Alligator mississippiensis: one gene and its partners. The protein of the gene in region 3 interacts with the protein of the main gene of each other region in a pairwise test. Links are inferred from orthologs where the notes say so. Each region holds a gene or a part of one and is shown on either strand. Other genes may lie near its edges. The genes, in order: MALL, PLLP and membrane-spanning 4-domains subfamily A member 15-like.

Region 1 (9,662 bases), on a different chromosome or scaffold from region 3:
TTATGAAGCAGAGAAGACAGATGAGATCCCTCAAGCAGGGGAGATTCTAACTCTGAAATTGCTCTCAAATTATCTGGTATAGTAAAAGTCATAGTTTTAAATGTAGACAGCCAGCACTGCTGGACTTTACTTGAAGTGTTGCACCAGAAACACCATGCCAAGGATAAAGCTTCTCTGAATGAGAGTATGGTGTGTTACTAGAAGGCAGGTGCGGAGGATTCACTGACTGTCAGTATTGTAGACATGTACGTCCCACTATCTGTCATAGAGGATCAGAACTTGGCCCAATTTAGGCAGGTTTTCATGGTAATAGCAATGTTCCTCACAACAGTGGAATCACCAGGCTAAACTTCAAGATGCTGCTTTAAAACAAGCATGCTAGAGATTCTCAACAGAACAGTGGCACCCATTCATAGCACAGACCAAACAAAATATTTTCCCCTAACCCTTTTCTAGAAAAGAGCAGAATTCTTTCAGCTAAAATATTAAAAAATACAGGCTGATGCAAGCAATGGAAATTTCAGCCCAAATGGCTTGACAAAGTTAAGAAACTGAAAATAGGGTCTTACAACAGAGCGCAACAGGCTACTTCAACTCTCAACATTAATATTAGCTTGCCCTGCAATATCATATTTAATATTGAACGCATGTGAAACAGTGGTATTATGAAGTTTTCCTACATTGGAATGGATATACATTGAGAGCCCAAAAGGAAGTACCAGGATGTGCCTGCATGGGCTCCTCTTGTACATAAAGAATAAAAACAATAATAATGTTATGGGGGCTGCTGTTTAAGCTCAAATACATTAGTTCAGTTCCACTGGGTCAATTCAGATCTCACACCTGTTTAAACTGTGAAAACAACACAGAACTACATGGGTGTTATAACAGTTTGAAGCTTTTGCAAGAGAAGAATTCAGCTCACTGACTTCAGCTGAGTGACTGTCACAGCAATGAGAGAGAGAGCAGGCACTCTGCGATTACATAGAAAGAATGCACCATAGAAAGAATGGGTGCTGGAACTCAGGTGTTCTCAAGAGAGCATACATTTCTAAATAAGCATAAAAATATATCATGTGAAGTTCAAAAGCTTCAGAGGCAACACCTTTTTTGTTTGCAAAATAATTGGCAAAACACACTGCTTGTTTACTGATACCTTAAAACACGTCATTGAAAAAGGTGAGGCAATCTAGGGAAAAGTCTTAGAGTTGTTTTGGGCTGTAACCACCTTCATATTTCAGATAAATAGACAGTGGTTTTAAATTCTTATCAACTCAGATCTTATAAAATACTTCTAAAAGTATGGACACAGTCCCTGTTCTATATTGAAGGTCTACAACACAACCTTTCCTGAGAGGAAGCCACAAAAGCCCTGAGCCTTTTCTGGGGAGGGCAGCATATAAATCTAATAAAGAAATAAAATAAAGAAATAAGTATTCAAAAAAAGATTTAACATGATCAAATGAAACGTATTTTGGGATTTACATGCTATTTAATCAGTATCATATTCTTGGCACTATAATTCAGCATGAAACCCATTAAAATGGTGACGTGATAAAGACTAAACAGTAGTTTGTACTGGGGATGGCAGTTTATGCAGAACTGCTGGATTGGTGAATACGATGTTGTAATTATCAAATAAGCCAGATAAATAAATGCATATGTAGGTTTGGATGGGTGGTGCAGATACAGTGTGACAGAGGTAATGACTGTGAACAGACTTTAACTACTGTATTGTATATCAAAGTACAACATCAATTGCCTTAAGCTCAGTAATCACACTGGAATGCATTACAGGACTCTGTACTTAGGAGTATCAAAAAAACTAAGACCTCTGGCATATTACAAAAGCTGACTGTCTGTTTACAATCTTTGATCCTTAAGGAAGTTTTCATACAAAAGAGAGAAAATACAGTTCTTCAGAAGAAAATGGTTAACAAAGCTTAATTTTTTAATAACTGACAATAAATAATTAAAAGAAAGCTTGTGCAGCATAAAAGAACAAAAAGCTTTGTTTTTTAGTGCCTTATAAGGCCTTATATAGGTTTCTGTATCATTCTGTACAATTTTTGACCGAATCAAAATCAAAGAGTGACTTTACAATTTAAATGCAACTTGCAAGAGAAAGTAATTACATCCCAAATCTCTTTATCATGATGTCCTTTTGGGCCAACTCCATCTTTATGAACAATTTGATATAGCCTTTAAAACAAATCAAAACCAAGTTCAGTGTACTTACTAGCTCTGGTAGGATAAAAGCATATGGTATTGTTTTAAACACAGCTGATCCGGAGGGTATGACAGGTTCTGGTTGGGTGGCAGGTGGTGGGAGAGAGCTTTGTGCCATTTCTTCTTCTCTGCGTAAATTGCTACAGTTTCAGCTCCGCTACACTTGGATTTATCTGTGCAATCCCACTGATATGCAAAGCTTAAAAGAGTAACCACTGACACACCCATATGGACGTAATCAGTAAAACCAGTCCCAGCCTGGCAGGTCTCTCCACTCATTACAACTAGAAGAATCATCAGCTACTCCCTGGCTAAATATCATGCCATAAAGGGCTCAAGCAGATCAAGAGCCATTTTTGAAAAATGAATGAAAACTTGGGTGTGTGCACACATATTGCAATATTTTTGTGCCAGAGCCATAGGAGCTCCCTTGCAAACTGGACTTGTCATGGTAGCATTTAACTAATACCCAAAACAAAACAAAACAAAACAAAACAAAACAAAACAAAACAAAACAAGAGATTCAACAGACCCTGATAAAAGAGCAATCAAAATTAGAGAAGAAAAAACCCTATCAGGAAACCCAACCCATCCCTGTGCCAGGGCAGGGACATACCCTACTGTAGTGTATGCTCAGTGACACCAACTCTACTGCGGGCTTTGGGCCTTCCCATTGAGAGAGCTTCACCCTGATCTGCTGCCTTGTGCCATCCTAAATAATTCTGTTCCTTTGGTGTTTACAACCCATATACATGCAGGCTGTTAGCTAACTCCCTATATAACATCCTTACCAAACTCTCCACACCTTAGATATTGCTTAACTCATATATATATATAGAGAGAGAGAGAGAGAGAGATTGTAGAGTCGGAAGGGACCACAATGGATTATCGTGTCTGATTCCCTGTCCCTGGCAGGAAAGAGGACCGAGGTCAGATGACCCCAGCCAGGTGACTATCTAGCCTCCTCTTGAAGTCCTCCAAGCTAGGTGATAGCACCACCTCTCTTGGAAGCCCATTCCAGATCCTGGCCACCCTTACTGTGAAAAGTTTCTTCCTAATATCTAACCTAAATCCACTCTCAACTAGTTTACACCCATTATTCCTAGTCACTCCCTGGGGTGCCTTAGTAAACAGCACATCCCCTATTCCCCGTTGACCCCCCCTAATAAATTTATAGGTGGCCACAAGATCTCCCCTCAGCCGTCTCTTGTGAAGGCTGTAGAGATTCAGCTTTCTCAACCTCCCCCCGTAGGGTCTATCACGAAGGCCACTAATCATGCGAGTGGCCCTCCTCTGGACCCTCTCGAGATTCCCCTCTTGAAGTGTGGCACCCAAAACTGGACACAGTACTCTAACTGCAGCCTGACCAGTGCCGCATAGAGGGGGAGCATCACCTCCTTTGTTCTATTAGTCATGCACCTGCTAATGCACGACAAGGTGCGATTGGCCTTGCTGATGGCCTCGTTACACTGCTGGCTCATGTTCATCTTGGAGTCAATTATGACTTCAAGATCCCTCTCTGCCTCCGAGCTGATGAGAAGGACACCCCCAACCTATAGGTGTGTTGGGGGTTCCTCCTCCCAGTATATTATATTACCAACACAAGAACTATGTTAGGAGAATGTTATTAAGGTTGCAAGATCAGGCAAATGCCAGAACTAAAGCTGCTTGAGCAAAATATTTTTGATCATCTTTTTATTCTATAGGACTCCTGCATCATTCTGCAAACAGAAGGGATGTGCTCTGGGAAACAATCCATGCAGGGCAATAAAGAAGTCTGTTATCTGCAGGACCCCTACTGCATTCATTATAGAAGCTGGGAGGTGTGCAGTGAAAGAGGCAGGGGATGGCAGGAAGAAAGAAGACAGTCTTCCAGCTGATGCAGCTTCATGCTGCCCTGGAGAATGAGTTTCTGTCCCTGTCTCTCTCTGCCAGTGTGAAACTGATAGTTTCTTGATAGTTGCTTAAACTACACTTTTAGAGGTAGCCAATAATTGTGCATTTCTCATTTCCAGATGCAAACGCAAGTGAATGTGTGAAGTGCTGAAGATGATGTGTTGGGGATGATAAAAAGGTGGGCTGCTGAGGGTAACTGAGTGCCAGCAAATGCAGAGGGTATATGAGCATGGGGCTTTCCAGTGAAAGTGGATGATGTGGGGTGCTGGGGCAAATAACAGGAGTTGGTAAAGATGTGGGATGTTGATGCAATGGCATAAGCATATGGAGTTGAGGGAGAAACTTCAGGGTGTCTGAGGCAGTCCCACCATTCTGCCCCATCCCTGTTCAGGCTCTGCCCACACTATCCTGCATTTCCAATCTCCACCATACCCCTTTCTGCCCTCACCCTGCCCCCTTGTCTTCCCCTCTCTACTGCCTTCCCCCCAGTCTGGGGGATGTGTGCTGGCCTGGTGCCAGTCAGGGAGAAGAGGCAGGCAATCTGCCAGTCAGCCTGAAGCCAAGTGCCACCTCAACCCCAGGTTGCCTGGGAAAGAACCACAGGTCCTATCTATGTCGCAGCTGAATGCATGGGAAGCCAGGGATGGACATGGACAGTTCAAGACTGTTCATAACCATCTTTTTGGGGGGAAACAGTCATTTAACACTATCTTTAATAAGGCATTCCCCAAAAGAGACCACACAGTTAAAGGGAAAGAAATACGAAAATATGTGCAAATAAAAGGTTTACTCGGCTTTTGTAACTAGCAGTAGTTTAGCTGTTTCCCTCTGCCCATGTTTGATAATCATCCTTCGTGATGGTTTCCTTTACAATTAAATTAAGTCTACCATAGCTGACCACCAAACCTCCGAAGACAACTAAAGGCTTTTCGCCATGTGTCAATTAAATCTAAGAACAAAACTTCCTACTGTTCTGACAGTACAAACAGTAGAATAAACTGCCCAGGGAAAGTATGAAATTTCCTTCGTTGGAAGGGATTGGACTGGACATCCAGGTACCAAAATAAAACCCGGGCAAAAAAAGTGGGGCAGGGCACAGTCCCGGATCATGCCCTGAGGCAACCGGAGACTTGGGTCCTCCACAGAAATGCTCTGGTAGTCAGCCACAGTGTCTCTATGGCTGGCCCTTGCCCCTGCTCAGGGCAAGCAGCATGCAGGCTGCAGGGACCCAGGCTTCCTTCCAAGTAAGTAGGGGTTGAGTGGGGTGGGGGAGGGAGTGGGGCGGAGGTGACCCTAACCCTAACCCAGTCTCCCCGCTCACCTCATGGCACAGCTGTCCCGCAGGTCAGTGTGGGGCAACAGGGCTCAGTCCCAGCTGCCTGGCACATGTGCTGCCGCTGCTGCATCACACGGATACAACTCGGCTCGGCTCAGCAAAGCGCCATGGCTCAGGCTCTGGGTGACAGCTCCAGCAATCCTGAGCTGTCAGAGAGTGTGCGGCACCGTGCGGTGCCCTACCGAGCCGGGCTGCACTTGTGCAATGTGGCAGTGGCAGTGCGGGTGCCAAGCGACTGGGGCTGAGAACCACTGCCCTCCGCTGCCCCACACTGCGCAGGGGGGCTGTGCCATGAGGCCCTGAGTGGCCCTGACAGCCGCTGCTACTACTGGTGAGTGTGGGGATGCTGGGGCTGGGTGCGGGGGTGAGAGGGGGCTGGGACCAGCCAAGGGAGCGAGCTGGGGGATGGGGGAGTGAGCAGGGGGCCGGAGAAGTAAGCAGGGGGGAAGGAGTGAGCAGGGAGTTGGGGCTGGGTGAGGCAGCAAGTGGGGGTGGGCTGGGGGCACGTGGGCCCTGCAGAGGGGCTGTAGCCCCATGTGAAGGAGCTGTGGCCATGTGGGGGGAACGGGGGGGGGGGGACTGCACCTTGTGGGGGGGGTAGGGGACCCACTCCTTCTGAGCAGCCCTCCTTATACATCTGCCCACACCCACAGCCCCCCCACAATCTACCCCTTAACCCCACACCACCCCCACAAACCCCTCACCCACATACCTGGCCCTGTGGGGCAGGAGTGAGGGGAATGGAGTGGGGGTAGGCTGTAGGTTGAGAGTCAGGGGCAAGGGCAGGGCACTGGCATATCAACACTGTTCAGTGCTGCACATCTTGGTGAGTGAAGGGGGTAGGGGCAGCTCTGATTTGTCTATGACAAAAAAGCCAAAAGTCAATGCAAAACTGTATAGATATTTAGCATTTATTTTATTATGATGATAGAGGCACTGGCAGGCTTCCAAATTGCTTTAAAATTGTAAATATATCAATAAAACATTACCCAACTCATTTGATCTCTCTCTCTCTCTCTGTATATATCTATATATCTATATATATATATACACACACACACACACATATGATATATCTAGTGGTCTTTTGTTTTAATTGTGGGAGAACATGGATTTTGGGATATTTTAGAGTGACTTTGGGATTTTTTTTTATCAGGGATTTTGCAGGATTTAAATAGGGAAGACCAGAATTCTTGCTAGTGAGGCAAGTGGCAGGACTCAGGCAGAGGAGCCTGCTCAGAACTGGCACCTAGGACCCAGCTGGAGGTGGTTGACCTCCTGGCCACTTGGGATCAGGAGGACATGCTTTGACAGTTCAAAGCAGGCCATTACGCTGAGAATATCTTCCAGGAAATAGCTGCCCAGATGACCAGGTGGTGGCACACATGGCAGTAGTGCTGCACAAAGGCCAACTGTGCAACCACAGTCTGCTGGCAGCTGGCCCAGAGGTGCAGATGTCTCTATTGGCCATGCAGTCCTCATCCAGGTCTGGCAGGGCCACAGCCTTGGAGCTACTTGCTGTCAAAGGTGGCAGCAGGTCACAGCCAGGCAGCAGTCCCCACTGCCAGACTGCTGCAGTGGGTAGAGGGTGCAGGGAACTCTCATGGCTGTTTCAGCAGTCCAGCTGGCACAAGGGGTAGTGTCCTCAGGTACCAATTGGCTGGGCCCCAGAAGCTCCTGAGAGCGAGTGGCCCTGAACTGCTCACCAGGGCAGCTTTTTATATTGCTGGGGCCAACACAGGTGCTGGCCCCAGCTTCTAGCTCCTCCTGGATGTAGATCCAGGAGCCAAGCAGGGTTAGTTTGTTCCAAGTGGCACAATTTGCCCCACACCAAAGTGTGTTTCTGGGCACATGTACTGAGGCAAAAAGCCCCAGTTCAAACTTGCGCCACTTCTATTTGAGCTGCTGCAAGTGCATGTGCCTGCATGTGTGGATGCACCCAATGAATCCTAAGTGACTCTATGAGGAAGTTAGTATGCAGTAAGATCAGATGTGAATTTACAGCACGTATGTGGAATAGATGGTGCACTGTAAGTTCACTCTAGCTTATTCTGCTTATTGTAACGATGTTAAGCAGTTAGGGCTTGCGTATAATGAAAACTGAACTTCCTCCTAATCTTTTTAAGCACCTTCTTCTAATGTAACAACCCCACCCTCTCTATACATCCTAAGTAAAAACATTTAAAATTGTCTCAGTACAAGAGTATCCCACTGCTCATTAACTAGGGATGTGCAAATATTTATTTCTATTCATAATATATCTTGCTAAACTAGTTTTCTTACAACTCATTGCTATTTTCTTTGTTTAATAATTACTTATCCACTAGGGTGTTATGACTAAGGCTATGATTTTGGCACAATTCTTTTTAATAAATGTCATAGAAGAGGTGTGGAAAATGCAGTATTCAAGGAAAAGTGCCAAAGCATGCTTGCTACATGTTGACAACAGTGAAACAGTACCTTACCAGAGCTCATTTCTCTATCTGGACCACTGCCTCATAGGAGTTGTAGTTTGGAGGGCTATTGCCCCCATTCTTTCAGCCAACATCTGTGGCTGAATTACACCTTCCATGATCCTGTGTGCTCTTCCCTTCCATAGAATGCCAGGGTCCTCCTGATTCTGAGTTTCTATGTTATGGTTTCCAAACCTCCATGGCTGCTGTGACAAAAATGTAGTCTTAGTTATGACTGGTGGCCTGTGTTAAATAACCATCTAACTAGTATGGACTGGAGAAGTAAATACAGGTACTCCTCACTTAACGTCATCCCAGTTAAGGTTGTTTCGTTATTACATCACTGATATATTAGAGAACATACATGTTTAAAGTCACGTAATGTTTGGTTATGGCTGTTTGGCACCGCCTGCTAGTAGGTAACTCTTGTGACGTAATTGGATTTGCTTAACACCATTTTGCTTAAAGTTGCAATTTTCAAGAACGTAACTATGATGTTAAGTGAGGAATAGTTGTACAGCTCTTCTAAATCAACTAAAGAAGATACTGTTACATCCATTTTAAGAGTTTGCTGAGCTCTATGGTCAGTACAACAAAGTATTCACCTTCATAAGCCAATAAGAGTAGTAGATAGATGTCACTGATAACTGTACCCATGTTTAAAAATACAGATCAGAAGCTTTTTAAAAAACAATCAACCATGTAGTTAAATAGATAAAACACTTTATTCTAATCTATTGGTATATGCTTTGTAAAAAAAGTCATTATATGTCCAGATAATCTAATACAATTTACTTACAAAATATGCTTTGTATAAACTATAAAACCCTTTTATTTTGATTAGATAGGTCATTCCTTTAATATATTTTGCATATGCCACACTCTATTACTGTCTTAATATCCATTCATGCTGATACACTACTTTTCCTTGCCTCTCCTAGAAAATCATATGCTACCTCTGAAATATCAAAAACTTTGTGAACAGTTTCTGAGGACAGCAGAGAGTAGAGCGCACCATCATTTTCGCGGGTCTGCTTCAAAAAGTCAGCAATCACTTTCCAGCGAGAGGCTTCTGACTCTTCATCTGCCCATTTATGTTTTGGGAGGAAAGTAGACTGGAGAAGAGGGAAGACAGAGTCATGGTACACCAGGGTAAATACGGTCTTCAAAAATTCTTGATCTCTCTAGAAATAAGAATATAAAAGCGGTCAGTACTCCATGCTTGAAGGCATTTCTACAGAAGACTGTATATTCCAAGCAAAACAGTAATCCTATGGACTACTATCCCCAGTGTTAAAACAAGAGGCGGGAATATTTGAACGCTCATGGCGCACGGGCCAAGTCTCGGAGGACTGGAAAAGGGCCAATGTGGTCCCCATTTTCAAGAAGGGGAGGAAGGAGGACCCGGGCAACTATAGGCCAGTCAGTCTCACCTCCATCCTTGGCAAAGTCTTTGAAAAAATTATCAAGGTTCACATTTGCGAGAGCCTGGCAGGACAAATTATGCTGAGGGGAAACCAGCACGGGTTCGTAGCAGGCAGATAGTGCCTGACTAATCTAGTCTCTTTTTATGACCAGGTTACGAAATGCCTGGACACAGGAGTAGGGATGGATGTCATGTACTTAGACTTCAGGAAGGCCTTTGATACAGTATCCCACCCCATACTGGTGAACAAGTTAAGAGGCTGTGACTTGGATGACTACACAGTCCGGTGGGTGGCGAACTGGCTAGAGGGTTGTACCCAGAG
Region 2 (9,804 bases), on a different chromosome or scaffold from region 3:
CTTTGTATGCAGACACCAAGCCACTCCTACTACTGCTACTCAACTCAGGCATACCCCAATCCAGCCCCTTTGGTCTTCCATGCATATCTGACACCACTACACCCTACTTGGTCTGTGATGATGATCTAGGAGTGATTATACCTGGAGTATGCTGTAAAAAGCAACAGTTGGAAGCCCAGGAGCCCCCTACACATGGATTGCTGGGATAGCTTGAAAAGAGCTCTGCAGCCCAACGTAGGCAGATATTGGAGAGGACAATGCTCAGCAGTGCCAACCTTTTTGGCAGGCATGTTACAAACTTAGTCCTGTCCCCTTCCTGAGTGCCATTCTGTTCTCTGCTCCCTGCCTGATCTGCTACTCTACTTCTCACCCCCTCCCCAGTTTATTGCATGCTAACTACAGTGGTTGCCTGTAGCATGTGTGCCACAAGTTGGCCACCTGGTCTGCACTTTATGTAGTCATGCACCAGGCACGTTAAACTCCAATGGCAGTTTCATGCCATAGCTCACTTACCACACCAGTGTGTATCTGGGATTATTAGCATGTTCAAAAGGGCAAGAACCAGCATTTTCTTCCCCCACTGTAAGGACTGGAGGTTGATCATTATAGATCTACACATGCTGACACATATGCTACTGATCTTTTTTTCCAAACACAAGCTTACATTCATTTTTTTAAGACAATAGAAGAATGAGTAGTAGTCAGGTAACCATTGTAGCCTGGTGGACCTTATCTGTGCCCACTCTGGTGATAAACTGGAACTTGAGATGCAGAAAAAGCTCTAGTCCAGCTCTAACTTTGCTAGGAGTGACTGGCTGGTCCCCCATTCCCAAATGTGCAGCTGTTCCCTTCCACTGCTGCAGGACACATAGAGGCATCACCCTGATAAGCAGCATCAAAATATATCGGGGCTTTCTTTTGCCTTTGTGAAAAGGCACTTTTGCTTCTTTTGGCAGCAACATGTCCTCCAAGGTTGGGACTACCTGAAAAGTGATCCAGCCTATATGTACCAACACCCACCAACACTCTTCATCCATGTGCTCATGCCATTCACCAAAAGGCATTCAGGGACTGGGTCACACAGTACTCCTGCTCCCACAGGAGGCTCAGATAAGCTTTCCCCTCTTCTCTGCCCTCACCAAAACACACACCATGTTGGAAATGCAAAGAACGTAACACAGCACTTGTACTGGGAGGTCACCTTGTGAAGCATAAGTTGCTGTTATCCAGGCTTGCAGGCATGGGTTAGTTGCTATAGCCACCTACCTTGGGTACCAGGAACAGGATAGGATTTACTGGGGTCTCCCAAGACTGCAAAAAGGCTCTGGATATGACCTCCAAGAAACTGTTGGGAAGCTGAGACTTCATCTCAGTAACCATGAAAACAAGTGGAGCAAGAACAAATGAGCAAGGAGGAGATGGTGGGACAGCTGGTCGGCTCTGCCAAGAGAACCACAGCTGCTGATGCCTGGAGGGAATGCACTGACTGGCACTAGGGCTGCTACATGGAGTTGTGAGGAGACTTGTAAAACCCTGAGCCAGTCAAATAAGCTTGGATGCCAGAGTTTACTGTGAACAACAAGACACTATCTCTGGGGACTGCTTGAATTTAACAGGTAAAACCCAGTTTGAGGAGTAGCTGCAGCTTGCTATGGTAGGTATTATAACCAAATAGTTCTGCAGTGCTGGTAACTTCAAGGTCCAAAGCAGACCCAGATTTCATGAGATGGAGAAAGATAATAAACATCACTTCTATAAAGAGAAGTAGAACAAAATAAAGGCACCCCCATGCAAAGTAAATCCATGGGCTGGGCTGGGATGGCTTTAATGGGAAGTAAAGTAGATAACTGCTTGCCTCAGGGAGAAGAAAGGGGTGGCAAAAAAGCCAAACTGAACCATTCAGTCTTTACCAGTAATAATTGTTTCCTGTTTACAGCAGCAAACTATGTTGTGGGACTTGCCCATGTACAACAGCAGATGACAGGCAGCACCTCTTGCCTGAGTCAGTTTGTACTTGCTTGTTTAGAAGTTCATAAATGAGCTTTTTTATTTAATTTTCTACATACGTTGCTGGCTAGTGATGCTGTTGTGTTAGCGTAAAATAGGTGGCCAATGTTTGGCATGGATTTCACAAGTGGCTCAGGCAGCCTTTGTGTGTGGTATGTGGCAGATGTGGGGGTGGGACAGGCAGCCAAGTGACAGGGCATGGAAAAGAAAGCAGAGCAGGAGATTGGGCAGGTAGCACAGGTCAGGGAGCAGAAAGCAGAGCATCAGACTGCACAGGGGAAGGGGATTGGAGTGGCACTTGGAAAGGGTGCAGGGCTTGCCTGCCAAAAAGGTTGGCCCACACCAGCATAAAACAGCCTGTAAAACTGAAATGCGATAGCAGCCATTTCTAAGAACATGGAAAGGTTTTTCTAGATCGGAACCTCACAACAGAAGAGCTCAGCAGAGGAGCAAGACCCTTTAACTAGGAGCCCAAGGTTTTTTAAAATCCCATCAGGAGCATTCCCACACAAAATCCTAGCTTTGGCTACAGCCAATACCTGGTGTTTTTGAGGAAGGTAGGGGGAAAAAAAAACCCTCACCTCTGTAGCAACAGGAAGGGCAAACATTCCTTCCTGACCCCATGTGGCAACCAGCAAAGCCCAGACACAGGAAAAATGGAATGCTTTCCAGGCTGCACTGCAGCCTGGGGACCACAAACACATCTCCACCTATCATACATCCAAACTGTAGAACCAGAGCTCATCCTTTTGTCATCCCATCCCCTACATAAACTTGTCCCAGCTCTTTAATATTGTTTTATAATCAAGCCAATTGTGCTGCTCTGCCTCATTCACCTGCTAAGCATGGTCCTCCAATACATGTGCTGTCTCCAGGGCTTCCAGTTGTTGCTCTTCACAGCTAGCTCTAGGTAGGTTTTCAACCTTTTTTCATTTGCAGAGCCCTAAAACAAGTATTTGATTGATCATAGTTATCTTTCACAGACCCCTTAGACATAGTCTGTGGACCCCCAGGGGTCTATGGACCACAGGTTGAAAACTACTGTCCTAGATCATCTCTGGCCAATATTTACCTAGCCTCTTCTTTAAAAGCCTCCAGAGAAAGAGATCCCACCACTTCCCCAGGCAGCCTGTTCCACTGCCTCAACAGTGAAGCCTTTTCTGATATCCACCTAAACCTACTTTACTGTAGTTTCAAGCCACTTCGCACTGGAAGGCGGCAGCCAGGGTACCACTCTCCTGCTGTTGGCACAACTCAGGATGAGACCTGCAACTGTTACAATGTGATTTGCTCTTGGTTTATGCCTTGAGCTTTGCCATTTGTGAGTCCATGGTCTTACATTCTTTTATACCTGGAATTGTCTGCAGGGAAAGCTCAGAAAAGTTTATCTGAATTAACTTGTAAAGTAACTTAGTTAAATCACATGCAATCCCTTGTGTGGACACTTTTTATTCAGAATTAAGAGGCCTTAATTTGACTCCTTTTCAATTCCAAGTGTTGTAAGGCAGTTTAATTTTGGCACTTTAAATTCACACCTTTAGTTAACCTAAATTAATTTCCCTGAGTATGCCGGTGTAGGTAGATGCTCACTAACAGTTTCACAACAGTGAAACTCCACTGGTTTCAAAGGAGTTATTCCTGAATCATGCTGATGTAGCACCAGAACCAGGCCACTCTTACTTTTATAGAGTGTTTCTTCCATCAATTACACAACAGGCAACACATCCCATTTATTCAACCTTTGCAAAAATGCCCACTACATTACCACCCCATTACCAACCAACCCCCAATCACCAATGATGCCTCTGGAAAATCCTCCACGTCAAATGGAAATATCAGGGCACAGATGCCAGCCTTCTCACTGAAGCCAACATTACCAGCATGGAGTTGGTGATCCTCAAGCAACATCAGTGGATGGGACATTGTGTGCAGCTGCCTGACACTGGACTCCTGAAACAAGTGCTCTACTCCCAGCTAAGTCATGGCCTGAGATCTTACAGGGGGCAGAGGAAAAACTAGAAGGACACACTGAAGGCAGCCAGACCTCAGGAAAACCAACATCAAGAGCTGGGAGGAGCTGGCTGCTGACTGACCCCAATGGTGCTGTGACCTCACCCAAGTCGCAGCCTGTTTTGAGGTAAAGTGCCCTGCCTCCAAAGTAGAGAAAAGAAAGCAGAGGAAGGAAAAAGAGAGGAATGCGGACAGACCTGTGATGTCTGTGGGTGGATCTGTGGCTCAAGGACTCGACTCTGAAGTTACCATGACTGAGACATGGCAGTTTGTCCTTGCTCACCCTAAATCAAATACCTCTTTTCATGCAACTGGTCTGGGGCAGGGGGCAGATGCCCGTCTGTCAGAGGGGCAGATGTCAGTAGGGGGGAGGGGCATCAGATGCCAGTCTGTCTGGGGAGGGACAGCTGTCAATTGGGGGGGGGGATGGGGGCAGATGCCAGTCTGGGGAGGGACAGATATCAGCTTGTCGGGGGGGGGGAAGATGCCAGTCTATCAGCCCCCTTGTCTGTCCATCCATCCAGTTCCGTGTCTAGCTCTCGCTGTATCTGATGCCCAGGCTGGGCTCTGCCCATCTGCCCCTCCGGCCCGTGCGAGCGGGGCGAGGCGAGGCGAGGCGAGGCGAGCTGCCCCGTGGGAGCCCGGGCGGGCGCTGGGCGGGGGGGCGCGCCTTGCCCCGGCCCCGCTCCCAGCCCCGGGCGCGGCCGGCGGGGGAGCTCGGGGCGCGGGTCCCGCCGGGCAGGTGCCGGCGCCGCACTCACCGTTTGCAGCAGCATGAGGAGCCCGGGCGCGGAGCGCAGGAAGGCGCCGTCGGCGGCGAGGCGGAGGCCGGGTAGCCCCTCGCCGCCGCTGGCCGGTGTGCTGGTCCGCGTGCTCACGCGGCCGGGGAACTCGGCCATGCGGCGGCCGGGCTGTGCTGCGCTGCGCTGGGGCTCTCTCCGTGGTGCCTCGGGGCGGCGCCGGGGGCGGGAGCTGGGGCGGCGGGGAGCGGCCCGCTGTGGGTCCGTGTGACCCCGCCCCGCCCCGCCCCGCCCCGCTCGACTCCGGCTGAGCTCCGCTCGGCTCTGGCCCCCGGCTGTGCCCTGCCTCCCTCCGGCTACCTCGGCTCCGTCCGTCTGTCTGCCTGACCCTCCCGTAGCTACATCCCAGGGTGTCGTCTGTCTGCCCCTGCCTCCCCGGCTCTGTCCCTCCAGCAGCCAGAGCCAGGCCGGGATCTATCTAACCCTCCAGTACCTAGATACCAGTCAGTCTGATCCCGACCTCCCACTTTTCCTCTGTCCTTCCGGCCAGGCAGCAGCCACATCCCAACCGAGCGGCCCGATGCCGATCCCGATCCCGCTCTTGCTCTGTCTGGCTACAAACCAGATCGGCTTGATCGGCAGCTTGATCGGCATGAGAGCAGCCTCGCTTGCTGCAAAGCCCAGGCCCGACAGAAGGACCAGCTCCAGGTTAACATGCTGTCTTCGAGCCATCGTGGCTCATTCAAGTTAACTGTCATTTAAGCCTGACACGGAAACCACTGTGCCACATCTGTGTAGCAGTACCACACTGAAATTATTGCTCTTCCTAGCCTCTGGTACCTAGGCTCAGTAGTGTCCATCTAAGCATCCAGTAGCTAGATACTAGCTTCCCCCTGCCTCCCAGTCCATCTTTCCCTTAGTCAGACCCTGATCCAACTCAGGTCTGTCTGGCAACCAGGCCAGGCTGTTTCTCTGTATGTCCAAGCCTCATTCAAAGGCAGCAAAGCATTAAGGCTATTTCCTTCTGATCCCTGCTCTCGGAAGGGATTTTTAAAGGCACGAGTTCATCCCTTCGATTTGCCTGAGAGGGGGCAAGATACTGTGAGGAATCAGGACCCCTTGCTGCAATCTGTCTGCCTGGGAGATCTGTCCTTGGCTTCCAGCAGGACTGAGATCTTCATCCCTGTGGTTGGTGCAATTGACAGGTGGAGCAGATATTGTGGGAACAGCACAGTGAGGGCCACTTGACCCCTTAGAATAGTTACAGACTCTTCTGCTGAGAAACTTTCCCATTCTGGTCCATAGGAAATGCCAGGTTTCTGGGGTCCTGGCTCTGCTTCTGATCGCAGGCACAGCCCTGTAAGTCAGAAGGCTCTCACCCTAAAGCTGGAAAGCCAGGCAGGGTTTGTCAGACCTTTTTCTGGTTTGATATAATGCCTAAACCAATGATTCTCAACCAGGGTGCCACAACACCTTACATTGTGTCAGGACTGACCATAGTTTTACTAAGAGGTTAGATTATGGGTTTGTATAGGATGGTTTGGATAGAGATGATCCTACCTCAGGCAGGGGGGTTGGACTAGATGACCTCTGTAGGTCCCTTCCAGCCCTGCTTCTCTATTACATCCTGCATGTTTAGATTTCTTATCCGGGTTGCCACAGGGCGTCACACAATGTTGGCACTGTTAGGTGCGCAAACATGATACACAAGGTGATCCCAGAGATTTCAAATAGGAATCTACAGTCTCACAGCCATTCTGAATTGCTGTGGTGCTTTTGAGGTCTTTGCCACAGAAGGATTGCTCTATTATTTTTCTGTAGTCAAAAGCTGAATGAAAACTAAGAACTGACATTTTCTGAGGGGTACCTTGACTCTAAAAAGGTTGACAACCAGTGTCTAAGTACTATGTGATGGAGATGAGCACTGCCAAAGAAACTCACAAGTGCAGATCTGGGAAAAAGAAATTGTGTTGCTTTCTGTTTCTGAGATACTTTTAAAATGTGCAGTTCCAAGGGTGTTCCCATGAGCACTGGGATGTGAAACCATAGCTCTGGTTATATTGAGGAGGTACTAGTATTATTTCAAAGCTGATTTTGTACTACCACTCAAGTAAATGTCAAATCACAGATTTATTTCAAGCAGAGCAGGATCAGGCTTGACACGGTTCATGTCAGGATGGACAGAAAATGTGGAAATATTTGTTCCAAATTAGCATCTTGCTAATGTTACTTGCAGTGGAAGCACTGGGCAAAAAACTGACTGCTGCAAAGTTACCTGGTGCGTAGAGTTCAGGTTTCGGTCCTTGCTCCTTTGCCACATTGCAGTGTTCCCAAAGTGCTGCAAAGCATTGAGACAAAGTTGCAGCTCATGCTGTTTGTTTCACCCCCACACAAGTGCTTGAAATGGATCCTCAGCTGGTGGAAATCAATGTAGCTCTGTTGAAATTAGTAGTTAGCCCAGCCTACAGCAGCTGAAGAGCTGGCCCAATGGAAGGCTGGAGGGTAAGAGCAATTGTAAGGCAAGGATGTTACAGCTTTTTGTGTTGTTTTCATAAGACATTTGAATTGCTTATAGAGTAAAACTGACAATAGAATCATTTGCTAATATGGTTTAACTTGCCAGTTTTCTAACTTTCCTGGGTGATGCTGATCAGTTCCTGATAACTGGTCACTACTGGCTAGTTCACCGTTATTTGCATTCCTCTTTGAGTGGGAAATTAATCTGTCAGTTTACCCTGCGTGTCTGTTAGTCCATCTGTCTGTCTGTCCATCTATCTAGCTCTAGCTACATCAGTAAAGTATCTGCATGCTAGATACCATTATTCGTCATTTCTGCAGTCATTTTTTGCAGCTTATAGCAGTGTCACTGGTGCAGGGGGGTAAAGGTCCTGCAGACTCACAGAGAAAAGTTAGTAGGTTGAAGGTATAACTAGTCCCCTTCTCCCCCTTTTCAATTGTTTTTGTCAGTGGGGAAGGTGAGGGAAAAGCGGGGAGAAGGGGTCAGGATGCCCAGATAAAGTACCTAGATCCTTGTTTAGGAAATCACACTTTTGACAGGGTCCCTGTACTCCTGGAGACATAGATCCTGCAGTCCTCACTCAGGGGAAACTCTCACTGAATTCAGCCATGGAGAGTCATAGAGGAAATGAAAGTTTAAATAGTAACCATATGACAAACACGCTAGGATAAGGACCTGCTCAGCAGAAACCTTTGAGTCACAAGGGGAGTGAGAAAAGGGCCATGTGGTAGTGCTGCAGCAATCTCTACCTCACCAGCCTCCTTCCCAACCAATCTATTGCACCTGGAGGCTTCTTCAGTTCTGAGTTAGAAAATGTAAACCTTCCAGTCAAGCCACCTCTTTAAAACCAAGTCCTTGAGAACAAACAAAGCTCTGCCCTGCTGCCATTCTGTAACTTGTATACAAAGGGCCATTTCATAAAGCTCCCTATTGTCACTATTGTACTTGAGATCTCAGAAGGTGAGTAATAATAAACACTGGACACGTCTACACAAAATGCAGTAGCACCATAGCATCCATTGGCAAAAACTGTGATGGCGCCACCATGTTGCTATAGCCCTGCTGGCTTCCCTGTGTGCAGCACCCACCTGGCCAGCCTCACCCCACTGTTCTAGGCCCCCACCACCACGCAGCTGCCACCTGGAACCCATCCTGCTTCCCAGTCCCTGGCAGGGACACCGATGATGTGCTCCTAGATGCCACCACTGGGGCTGTCCATACCTTCTTGGGCCTACAGCCCCACCACCTCTGGGCCTGCCCGGCCAGCCAGGACTGGTGGCTGCACATTGTCCAAACCACCTGGGACAATGAGCAGTGGCTGGAGGCGTTCTGGATGACCTGGGCCACCTTCCAAGACTTCCTGGACTAGCTCCGCCTGCATCTGGAGCAGCAGGGCACTGCCATGTGGCGGCCCCTCCCTGCAGACACACAGCAGGCCATCACTTACTGAAGCTGGCCATGCCCACCAGCCTCCACTAAGTTGGCCACCTCTGTGGGGTGGGCAAGGCCTCCAGGACATGCTAGGGCACACCGTGCTCCAGGTGCACAACCCCCTGGTGGTGGTAGTGAGGTTCTGTGCCCTGGACTTCCCCCAATGCATCGGGCCCTGGATGGGACTCACATCCCTGACACCTGCCTGCCCCATGGCAACCACCCTTACTACAGCCAGCGGGACTTCTACTCTGTTGTGCTCCAAGCCATTGTGAACCACCATGGTGCCTTCATGCATGTGAGTGCCAGCTGGGCCGGCAGTACCCATGATGCCCGCATCTTCCACAACTACGCCCTGCCAGTCCTGGTGTAGAGTGGGTGCTTTGCACCAGGGGTGCCAGACCTCCAGCTGGGTGCAGTGGTGGTCCCACCCCTCCTCACCAGGGACTCCTCTCCTGCTTCATGGAGCCCTACACCAGCCAGTGGGATCCCCGCCAGGTACACTTCAACAGGTGCCTGGGACGGACCCATGCCCTTGTGGAGTGCACCTCTGGCCAGCTGAAGGGACACTAGTGCACCCTCCTTCCCTGCCTCAAGGTTGCTGAGGCCAACCCCCCCCCCCCCCCCCCAAATCATTGCAGCCTGTGTGCTGCATAACACCTGTGAGGCCTGGGGGGAGCTGTTTTGCAAGGTTTGGGTGGAGGAGGCACAGTGGGCAGAGGACTCCTGGGACCAGGAGCATCAGCTGCGGTGGTGGCAACAGTGGCAGGCTGTCCCTGCCACAGCCTGATCGAGCCACACCCATCAGCACTGGCCAGGCTGCCCACGGACCCCCACCCACCGTCTACTCCCAGCCCCACAGTCACTGAAGACAGGTCTCCAAAAAGCAGTTTATTCCCCTCCACAAACACAGGCCCCCCCTCTTCCCTCCCTCCCCAGCAACAGACTCTGTCCATCCATCCCCCACAGAGTCCCTCTACCACCCATCCTACCCACCACCAATAAAGCAGACTTCCCCATACTCTTCCCCATTTTACAAGTGGTATGTGTATGCCCTCCTGGGGTGGGGAGGCTGTGGGGTGGGGGCAGAGCATGGGG
Region 3 (10,331 bases):
CATACTGTATACTTAGAAGAGTTAAACTGTGCAGGTTCAGAGAGCAAGTCAGTCACCGTTTATTTATGAGCGTCATCATCCTACAGAAGAGCTTCCAGTAGGGGCAGCTTATGCAGCTTCTTACACATTCTGATGCATCTGATACCAGCCTTTGTCAGAGACAGGATACAGGGCTAGAAGGATCTTAAAGATAATCCATTCTGTACATGAATGTCGTTTTTTCTAGTTTGGAGGCCTTTGGGTGCCTGTCACTCTAGACCATATTAGGCTGGTACATGGTTGGTTATTGCGCTTCACATAGCTGAGACTGAGAGATGGGATTAGTGGATGGAGGCTACAAATCCTGTAGTCTGCAGAGAACTCATTGGCACTGGCCATCTCCCAACATTACAATATTACAGGGATAATTTACAGGGATAGCAACATCTCTGTCTTGTCATCCTGCACCTGTAGTGGTGAATAAAATCACTACACTAGATCTGTGCAACTATTGTGGCTCACTGAGAGTTCCAAAAGGTAAAAAAAGAAAGCAAACAAACAAAAAACATTTTGGTGAATTAAAAAGTAGAAAACATTTTGTTCTGGGGGATCAAAACATTTTGTTTAAGCCACAACACTCCAAGTGTTCTCTTTTTTTTATCATTTTAAAAGTAATATTGAAAGAAAATCCAAAATGAAAGTCACTTTGGATTTTAAAAAATAGTTGAAATCCTTCTTTTAGAAAATATTAAAAAGAAACTGTTTGGAATTTTTATTTTGCCCCCAGCTTGAACAATGTGGCAAACAGACACATCTATAAATGCTTCAGTCTCGCTGAGTCCCCATGTTTTCATTGCATAAAATTCTGGCTGAAATTTGGCCAATGCACTGAAGAGGAATTTCCTGTTGCACCAACAGTGGCTTCATGTGAACCCTTGCCCTGCCCTGAAGAGATCCCACCCAGGCATCCCTCAGCTCTGTCCTGGGAACAAGATTGAAATTCAGCCCCCTGTCCCTTTAGTCCTGCATGCACAAGATTTCTGATTTGAGCCTGGTCAGAGGAGAATTAAACTCAGGCCAAAGATCCTTTAGGACTCACCGCACACTCGGTAGGGCTTTTTTCAGCTCCAATTGAGAGGCATCCAGAAATGATGAACTGAGTGGCAAAGAGGAAACAATCAGTGCATTAACTTGTGACTGTCTTTCATTTCATGGATCAGCTCAGTTTCCCTTTTTGAGGACCCATCTCCAGTGTCTGTGATGGAAATCAGGGAGAGGGGGAGACTGGAATCTTCCTCCCTGCTGGTCTGAATCCTTTGGGCAGCGCAGGAGACAGAGATCCCGTCCACCCAAAAGCAGTGACCTCTCTGGATGCCCAAAACCAGGAGCTTCCCTGCCGTGTGGCTGAGGGGTAGGATTAATCTGGATCAGGGCATTAAGCATCCATCACGCAGGGCTTGTCTACACTAGAGGAGCATCTGCTGAGGCTGCCGTGCCCCCTTGTGGAGACACAGAACATGCCAACAGAAGGAACTTTCCTGCCAGTGTACCTCTGTACCACCTCTGCCAATGTAGACTGAGCTGATGGAAATGTTTTTGTCAGTATAGCCACATCTGTACCAGGGATCTTTCTGGCAAACTAAATTGCCTATGGGGTGCTATCTTTTTGATGAGGCAATGCTAGCAAAATGTTACTGTGTACACATGATTAAGTTCTTTAAGGCAGGGCATCTTTTTGTGCTGGGGTGGGACAGTACCAAGGACCAGAGGGACTTGATCTGTGACCTTGGTTCCCATCATACAGCTAATAATCCATGTGCTCCATTAGCATCCCAGTCCTCTGCATATGCATCTAAGAGACAAACCCCAACCAGAGATGGGATGCTGATGGGAAGCTCAGGGGGAGGCAGGTGGAGAGGGCAGGGCACGAGATGGCCAGGGGAAACCAGTCCAACTCAGATTCATTCAGCTCCATTCATGCTACTCACAGACACTCCTCCCAAGAATGGGATCTCGCCAACCACAAAGAGAGAGCTGTAGACGTTTGTGAGGGTTGTCAGGACGATCCCGAAGCCGATGTGCATGAAGCCAGTCATGATCTGGATGGTCTGAGAGAATAATTGCAGCAATAATGTGCATTATATTCACCCCTGGCCACACCTTACTGGCTCTGAAAAGGATGCAAGGGGCATGGGCATGGGCAGACTTTGAAGTCGACCTGCATGGTCAAAGCAATGTCAGTGTAGCGCATGCAAGAGGAGAATAGGTATGTCTATGTTGCATCTCTGGTGCTGTCAGGGGGGGGATGTTCCTAACTCTTCTCCACCCACTTACTGACATTCATGTGCACTAAGCCCAGAAAAAGGGCCATTCTGGGAGCATCACTCTGGCTGGTCTCAAGCCCTCTGTTTCCAGAGTGCTTGGGACACAGTACCAGCATCCGCAAGGAGTCTCTTTATGAAGCTGTTGCAGCTTGCACTGGAGATAGTGCGTCCTTTAGCTCAAGTGGTAGAGGTGCACGTCTAACTCTGAAGATCCAAGGCTCAAGCCTGAACATGTGTTGGTAGCACAAATATTAGCCAAGGAAAGCTGGCTAAGTGACTACCCTGTTTGGTGGGAAGAGGATATTGAGGCAGAGCAGCAAGCTGACTTGCTGCAGCCCTATCACGTGTGAGTTAGAGCTCAGCAGTGTTTGACTCATGGCCCCATCCTTTCCAGGCCTATAGCCAGGGCCCAACAGCAAGGACTGGATGATCACTGTGTAATGAGTTCTGATCTCTTCAGTGGTCTCTGGAAGAGCCTCACCAAAGGCCCCTTGAATGGACTTGTGCAAAGATTTCTCCTTCTGCTGCAGCCTGACCTTGCTTTCCATTTCACGCCCATTTATCCCAGCATTAATCCCTGTGAGCTACACACAGTGTCCTCAACCAGTGAAAATCTCTAAGAAAGGTTTTCCCCTTACATGCTGCACCAGTGCTATAGCTTGGACCAAGGCTATACCTAAATCCCCAACTCCTATCAGCTTAGCAAACCTGCAGGCGCTCAGCATTACCTGGCTGGGTGCAGGCTGCAGACCTCTGGAGCTCCCAGGGAGAAGAGGAAGATTACAACAGGACCAGGGCCTTGGTTGTACACAAGGCTCCCAGCCTCTGCCATCCCCCTCTGAATGTGGGAGCAGGGCAGAAGCTGGAACCCAAAACAGAGCCAAGACACCTGCTGAGGTACAAGGGGACCCTCATCCTGTCTGGCTGGCTAGTTAGATGCCCTATCTCCCTGAGCCCTTCCCCAACCCCATGTTCACTTGGTGGATGGGGTGGGAGAGATGAGAACTAGCTCTTTGGATGTTAACCACACCCCTTAAGTGCACACAGACCCCCATCCCTAATTACTTGTTTTGTCAGTAGTGTGAGAGGCACAGGCTGGAAGAGATGCCAGCACCGGTCTCTGCTACCCAAGCCCTTGCCTCCTCACTTGCTTTGCAAGCCAGAGAATCAGGATGTCAGAGATCCACCTGCACACACACAGGCTGATGGTCACGGGCACTTGAGGGCGAGGAGCTCATGGAGGGTCTCAGCAGAACCCCTGCCACCCAAGGCAATAAGCTTGGTTGGGGGGAGGAGGGCGAGGGGAAGCACAAGGGTAGCCCAGGAGATTTCAGGCTAGAATGGAGCAATATGATCCTCTGATACTGAGGTCCTGCACAGCACAGCACAGCACAGAGGGGAAGATTTGTCCCTTTTCCCTGGCTTTTGGAGGCACCTATAGGAGCCAATTCAGGATGAGTCATTCTCCCTACTCCCCATTCCCTATGTAGCCCCCTCCACACAATGTCCCAGCTCCTGGCTCTGCCGTACTCACCCCCATCACTCTGTTCTTCCCCTTGGGAACCGTCTCCACAGTGTACATTATGGCACGTCTGCCCAGCCGCATCGTCCCCCCTTCTTGCATGGGATCAGCTGGGGTGATGAATTGCCAGCCTGCAGGGTCCTGGGCGGCTGGGCTCTACGCTGCATCAGCCCCCATCCCCTGAGCCTGGACCACAAGACTGACAGGGCTGCTCAGCATCAGAGCAGTGAGAAGGGAAGGAGGCGGGACAATGCCATTGGCTGCTGCAGAGAATGATGTCAGAGTCAGAGATGCTGCAAGACACAGACAGGAGGGAAAGACATGTCTGTGTGTGTGTGTGTGTGTGTGTGTGTGTGTGTGTGGGTGGGTGGGTGGGTGGGTGGTGGGCTGAAGGGGGGCGGTGGGGAATCATTCCTTGGTCCTCACTACAGTCCCTTGATTGCACTTGAGAACTGCTTTCTTAGCAGCTGAGAAGAGGCAGCTCCAGGGGATGGGGGTGGGGGTGAATGAGCTGCACAGAGCCCCTACCCATTTTTTGGCTGCTGCCAGGCAAGCCAATCCAACCCAATTCAGCCCAATTAGATGTAATCATCCTGACAGCTGCACAAGTGCACACACTCCGGGAGCTGTAAGAACACTTTGTGATTGCGGGGAGGAGAAGGAATGCCACCGTCTCCATGATGGGGGGTATGTCACGATTGAAGACTCGTGAGGTTGTAGGAACCAGATTTACTGGGTCAGCTGGATCCCCAGGCTGCAAAAAAAAAGTGAAAACCTCTTTTGGTAGGAGTAGCAGCAAGGGGTTGGGGGAGAGGGGAGCAGGGAATTAATTTCATTTTGATCCCCATGTATGATTTTATTCACAGGGGATAATTACTCTGCAAACCTCCCTGCTATAGAAGGTCTGAGGTCCAGAACTTCACCCCATTTGTAAAAGGACAGAGCAGTTATATGGACAATCAGTATTTTCAGTGTTGCTGTCATTGAGGACAGTACATTCTAGCAGGGATATTCAACTCCTTACTTCCAGGCTGAAGCTGATCTCTTACAACTGGACTCCAAAATGAGACCAACATTAGGAAACAGATTATCCTACAACTGCTACTGTGCGTTTCTTATCCCTTCCTCCAAAGATGACTATTGTGATAAAAAGGATACTGGCCTAGGTGGACCTTAAGAGGTAATCCACCACGGCAATGCTGCCCTTTCTGTGTCTGCACTAGAATTTAAATATGGGCTACCTGGTGCCTATTTAGAAGCACAACTTCCTTCCTACTGAAGCCATAGAGGGTACCTTATCTAGGAGCAACTGAACCTCTACTCCCATTTTATTCCTGTTCCAGATTTAAAATTATAATTAATAAGTGATCTCAGGTTGCCCATATCTGAAAATTTATTTGAGAATTCATCACTGTTCCAGTCAGTTGAAGGCCTAAATCCAGGTGAGATCTCAGGGCAGAGCTGGGGGAAGAGCGTGGGACTGGTAGACCGACAGGATCTTTGGTGAACTAGGTTTTCAGCATCAAATGTTTCCTCTTGGCTCTGTATTTCCAGCTGTTGGCTGGAGAGGGAAGCAGTGAGAGACACAATGGCAGTACCACTTGTTCCTAACCCAGCATTCACCAGGTAATAGCAGTCCCCTTGAGATTTCCTCATAAAAGATACAGTGCTCAGATCTTGAGCCCTTTGTTCTAATTTTAAAACTGGCTATGATCAGAGCAATGTGAAGTCTAATTATTAACAATCTCCTTTCCTAAACCTTCCCCATAGCTTCACCTCTCTGAATTTAGAGCCTATTTTATGGCACTCACTGATGAAAATTCTCCAGCCCTGGAACAGTAGCAGCAATCAATAGAGCTTATGACCCTTGTCATGGACAGACAGCTGGTGTAATACCTCATGATGCATCACCATTCTCGTCCTCAGCATGCTTATCCCAACCAATATTCATCCACAGGGTGCTCTTCGCCTGAAAAGTCATGAGTTATCATAAAGGACATGGGTTATTGTTATATGGTATATCTGAAAAAATGAGACCTACTTAACCATTGCCAGAGATGAGTATTTATGGCCATTGATGGGAAAGGACAATAGACCATGGGGAGTACATGAATTAGCTGTGTGTCACAAAATTGGTACACTGAGAAAAAACACTCTTTTTAAAATGATACTAATTATTATCTGGCCACTGTTCATCTTTTCACTCCCTCCCCAACTATTTCCTATGGTTGCAGCCAAAAACCACAGGTACAGTTAGCACAGTGTGACTGCACATTGTGAAGAGAAGTCAAGCTGCCCTAGAGCCTGGGTGTCTGTTAGATCTGGGTGTCTGGCACTCTGGGGTGAGATCCCTGTGAGCACGTCTACGTGTGCACCAATAAATTCTAAAGCTTATTGCTCAAAGGTTTTTGGCTCCAGAGTACACTGTTTGAATGGGTACCCAGGAGCAAAATCTCCAGAGCAAATTGCTCTGAAATGTATTTGTATGCACCACATGGAGCCCAGTCAGGACAGTCCAGCTGGCAGGGGACTCATGAGGTCAGCCTGCCAGTTCAGGGATGCTCTGACCTGGCTCTATGTGCTGCAGGGGTGGGGGCTGGCATGCAACCCCTGGGCTGAGGCACACTGTGCCCCAGCCAGCCCTAGAGTGGCACATGAAGATGGGGGAGCAGGTGAGCCTGCCATCCCAGGGCTGCTCTGACCCAGCTCTAGGCTACAGAGAGGCTGGCTGAAATGCAGGGTGCCTCAGCGCAGGGCTGCCTGCTGGCTAGCCATTCGTTGAGCCTCTGTTCCTCAGCCAGCTGAGGCAGTGTCTACACGTGTGCTGCTGCACATGAAAAAACTCCACAACAGGGTAGTACTTATTTTACAAAATTACCTTGCTGCACAGCTCATTAGTTTCATGCACTCTAGTAGGGGCACACGTGTAGACGCTGATATGTTTACTGTTCAATTAATTGGTCAACTGCACAGTAAATGTTTCAGGTAGCTGCATCCGTTATGACAGGGGTGAGCAAAATGTGGCCCAGGGGCTGGGTGTGGCCCACCAGGCCATACTATCCAGCCCATGGGGCCCCTAAAAAATTTAGAAAATTAATATTAATCTGTCCTGGGCTGCCTGTTATGAGGCCCTCGATGGCTTGCCAAAACTCAGTAAGCGGCCCTCTGCCCAAAATAATTGCCTGCCCCTGCGTTATGATATTCCAGGGCATGGTTTTCAAGGACCTGGTTACACGGAGACTCCTTTAGCATGAAGTCAGGAAAGAATGTTTCTCTCAGAATCTCCACAGGCCAGGGGGGCATCTTGTTCATAGATTCATAGAGTTATAGATGTAGGGTCAGAAGGGACCTAAGTAGATCATCAAGTCCGACCCCCTGCCCTGGGCAGGAGAGAATACTGGGCTCATATGACCCCAGCGAGGTAACTATCCAGCCTCCTCTTAAAGACCCCCAAGGTAGGAGCTAGCACCATTTCCCTTGGAAGCTGGTTCCAGATCCTAGCTGCCCTGACTGTGAAGTAGTGCCTTCTAATGTCCAGTCTGAATCTACTCTTATGAATCTATGGCTTATGGCCGTTATTCCTTGTTACTCTGGGAGGTGCATGGGTTTCTCCCATTCTCCAGTGGTACCCCTTGGTACGTTTGTAGATGGCCACCAGATCCCCTCTCAGCCTTCTCTTGTAGAGGCTGAACAGGTTCAGGTCCCATAGCCTCTCCTCATAGGGTCTGCCCTGCTGTCCCCGGATCATGAGAGTGGCCCTCCTCTGGACCCTCTTGATGCTGGCCACATCCCTCCTAAAGTGCGTCGCCCAGAACTGGATGCAGTACTCCAACTGTGGCCTGACCAGTGTCGCATAGAGGGAGAGGATCACCTCCTTGGCCCTGCTTGTGATGCATCTGTGGATGCATGACAAGGTGCGGTTGGCCTTACTGACCGCATCCTCACATTGGCGGCCCATGTTCGTTTTGGAATCAATAATGACTCCAAGATCTCTTTCTGCCACTGTGCTTTTGAGAAGGGAGTTCCCCGGCCTATAGGTATACTGCTGGTTCTTACTGCCCAAGTGCAGGACCTTACACTTGTCAGTACTGAATCCCATCCTATTCTCATTCACCCACCCCTGTAACCTGTCCAGGTCCAGCTGCATCCTGTCCCTCCCTTCTAGCGTGCCCACCTAGCCCCAGATCTTGGTGTTGTCAGCGAATTTGAACAGTGTGCTTTTCACCCCCTCATCCAAGTCGCTAATAAAGAGATTAAACAGTGCGGGCCCAAGGACCGAGCCCTGGGGGACCCCACCGCCCACATCCCTCTAGGTTGAATATGACCCATCCACTACTACTCCCTGGGTGCAGTCCCTCAGCCAGTTTGCGACCCATCTGACTGTGTAGACATCAATGCCACAGTCACCTAGCTTTTTAATGAGAATGGGATGGGAGACAATGTCAAAGGCCTTCCTGAAGTCCAGAAAGACTACGTTCACCGCGACACCTGCATCCAATGATTTTGTGACCTGATCATAGAAGGCAATCTGGTTGGTCTGACAGGACCTGCCTCTAATGAACCCATGCTGGTTGCCCCAAGCATAGTCCCTCCAGCCGGTCCTTCCCAGATGTGCTGGATAATATTCTCAAAGAGCTTCCCCAGGACCAAAGTAAGACTAACGGGCCTATAGTTGCCCAGGTCCTCCCTCCTCCCTTTTTTGAAAATGGGGACCACATTGGCCCTCTTCCAGTCATCTGGCATCTGGCCAAAGCACCACGAGTGCTCGTAAAGCCATGTCAGAGGTCCTTCAATAACCCCTGCCAATTCCCTCAACACCCTGGGGTGAAGAGCATCTGGACCTGCTGATTTGAACACATCTAGCCCCTCCAGAAGTTCCCTAACTCGGTCCTCCCCAACCCTAGGCCTGTCAGAGTCATGCCTGAGTCCATCCTGAATCTCAGTGGGGGAGTCCTGGTCCCTGCACAAAAAAATGGAGGCAAAGAAATTGTTTAAAAGGTCTGCCTTTTCCTCTGGTGTAACCACCAGATTGCCTAGCGTATCCTTCAGGGGCCCCACATTACCCGGTGCTTTCTTCATACTCCCTACGTATTTAAAAAAGGACTTTTTGTTGTCCTTGATCCTTGATGCTAGCCCTAGTTCCATATCTGCCTTAGCTTTCCTAACAGCCCCCCTACAAGCCCGAGCGATGGAGGTATTCTCCTCTTTGGTGATAGCCCTTCTCTTCCACTGGGTGTACGCCTCTTTTTTGGCTTTCCTGAATGCCTTTGGTGAGCCAGGGGGCTTTTGAGCACTCTTGCCCACTTTGATTCTCATTGGGACTGTCACCTCTTGGGCACGGAGGATCATCTCCTTAAGGAATGACCACTCATCTCAGACACCCAGTTCCCCAATTCTCCAGGACCCCAGTGCCTCTCCTACCAAACTCCTCAACTCGTTGAAGTTGGCCCTCTTGAAGTCAAGGGCTACTGCCTTATTTCAGGCCCTTGACACCCTGCACTGGATGGTGAATTCCAGTAGGCGGTGATAGCTGTCACCCAGGTGGTCAAGAACCTGGAGTCCCCTCACCAGGTCATTGCCAGTGACCAGGACCAGGTCCAGCAGGGCTTTCCCCCTGGTGGGACTGTGCACCTCCTGGGTTAGGTGGAGGTCCTGTATCTCAGCAAGGACTTTCGTGAGTGGTCCAACGTGGCTGACTGCTCCTCCCAGCAGATGTCCGGGTAGTTTAGATCATCCATGACGACTACATCCTTTGCCTTAAGTGCCTCCGCAAGCTGGCCCGAGAATTCATGGTCCAGCTCTTCCCCTTGGTTGGGTGGTCTATAGTAGACCCCCACTGTTAAGTCCCTTTCCACATGACCCCACTGTATTCTGACCCAGAGCACTTCAGCCTGCCCCTCCTCTGACCCCATTCTGTTAGTTGAGGACATGTATTGCTCTTTGACATAGAGCACCACACCCCCAACTTTCCTCCCTGTTCTAACCCGCCTGTATAGTCTGTAGCCCCTAATGTTTACTGCCCAGTCATGGGATGAATCCCACCAGGTTTCTGTGAGCCCTACTATGTCTGTGTTTGTACTAGCTATCCAGAGGGCAAGTTCCTCCTGCTTATTTCCCATGCTACAAGCATTAGTGTAGAGGCATTGTATTGGTACGTCTTTTTTTTTCACCTGCAATTGAGAAGGATCCAGAAGTGACGAGCTGTCCAGAAGGGAGAAATAGATCTTTGTGGGGTTTTTTTGCCTTACATCTTTCACCCAAGATAAAAGAATAATCCTCTAGCAGTTGCATCTCTGTACCCACCCTTCCATTCATTGCAGTGAGGCTCTGCACCCACATTCAACCTTCATATAATATAAGAGTTTCTAGGATATAGCCATCCAAAAAAGAACAGTTTTTCATATTTTAGCCTTCTTCTTATCCTTTTTGGCCACCAAAGAGGGAGGAGAGAATCTTTCAATAGTGTTCATAGAAAATTTCCTTCACTCACATGGCCTTTTTGAGAT

The links.
Region 1: the proteins of membrane-spanning 4-domains subfamily A member 15-like (region 3) and MALL interact in binary tests that used the Homo sapiens proteins (3 or more experiments, as listed by UniProt). The two-hybrid records come from large-scale screens. The link is inferred for Alligator mississippiensis from reciprocal best matches to the Homo sapiens genes MS4A12 and MALL.
Region 2: the proteins of membrane-spanning 4-domains subfamily A member 15-like (region 3) and PLLP interact in binary tests that used the Homo sapiens proteins (3 or more experiments, as listed by UniProt). The two-hybrid records come from large-scale screens. The link is inferred for Alligator mississippiensis from reciprocal best matches to the Homo sapiens genes MS4A12 and PLLP.

What each region holds. Positions count from the first base shown.
Region 1 is NC_081824.1:237,893,955-237,903,616, reverse strand, and holds the start of MALL (MAL-like protein), read right to left. Parts: upstream 4,469-9,662; 5' UTR 2,348-4,468; coding exon 2,240-2,347; intron 1-2,239. Other genes in the region: NPHP1 (nephrocystin-1), read right to left, coding at 8,820-9,098.
Region 2 is NC_081833.1:37,287,195-37,296,998, forward strand, and holds the start of PLLP (plasmolipin), read right to left. Parts: upstream 4,969-9,804; 5' UTR 4,917-4,968; coding exon 4,779-4,916; intron 1-4,778. UniProt on the Homo sapiens protein: Main component of the myelin sheath that plays an important role in myelin membrane biogenesis and myelination. Plays an essential function in apical endocytosis. Regulates epithelial development through the regulation of apical endocytosis.
Region 3 is NC_081825.1:176,800,966-176,811,296, reverse strand, and holds the start of membrane-spanning 4-domains subfamily A member 15-like, read right to left. Parts: upstream 4,092-10,331; 5' UTR 3,928-4,091; coding exon 3,838-3,927; intron 2,088-3,837; coding exon 1,968-2,087; intron 1,136-1,967; coding exon 1,079-1,135; intron 1-1,078. UniProt on the Homo sapiens protein: May be involved in signal transduction as a component of a multimeric receptor complex.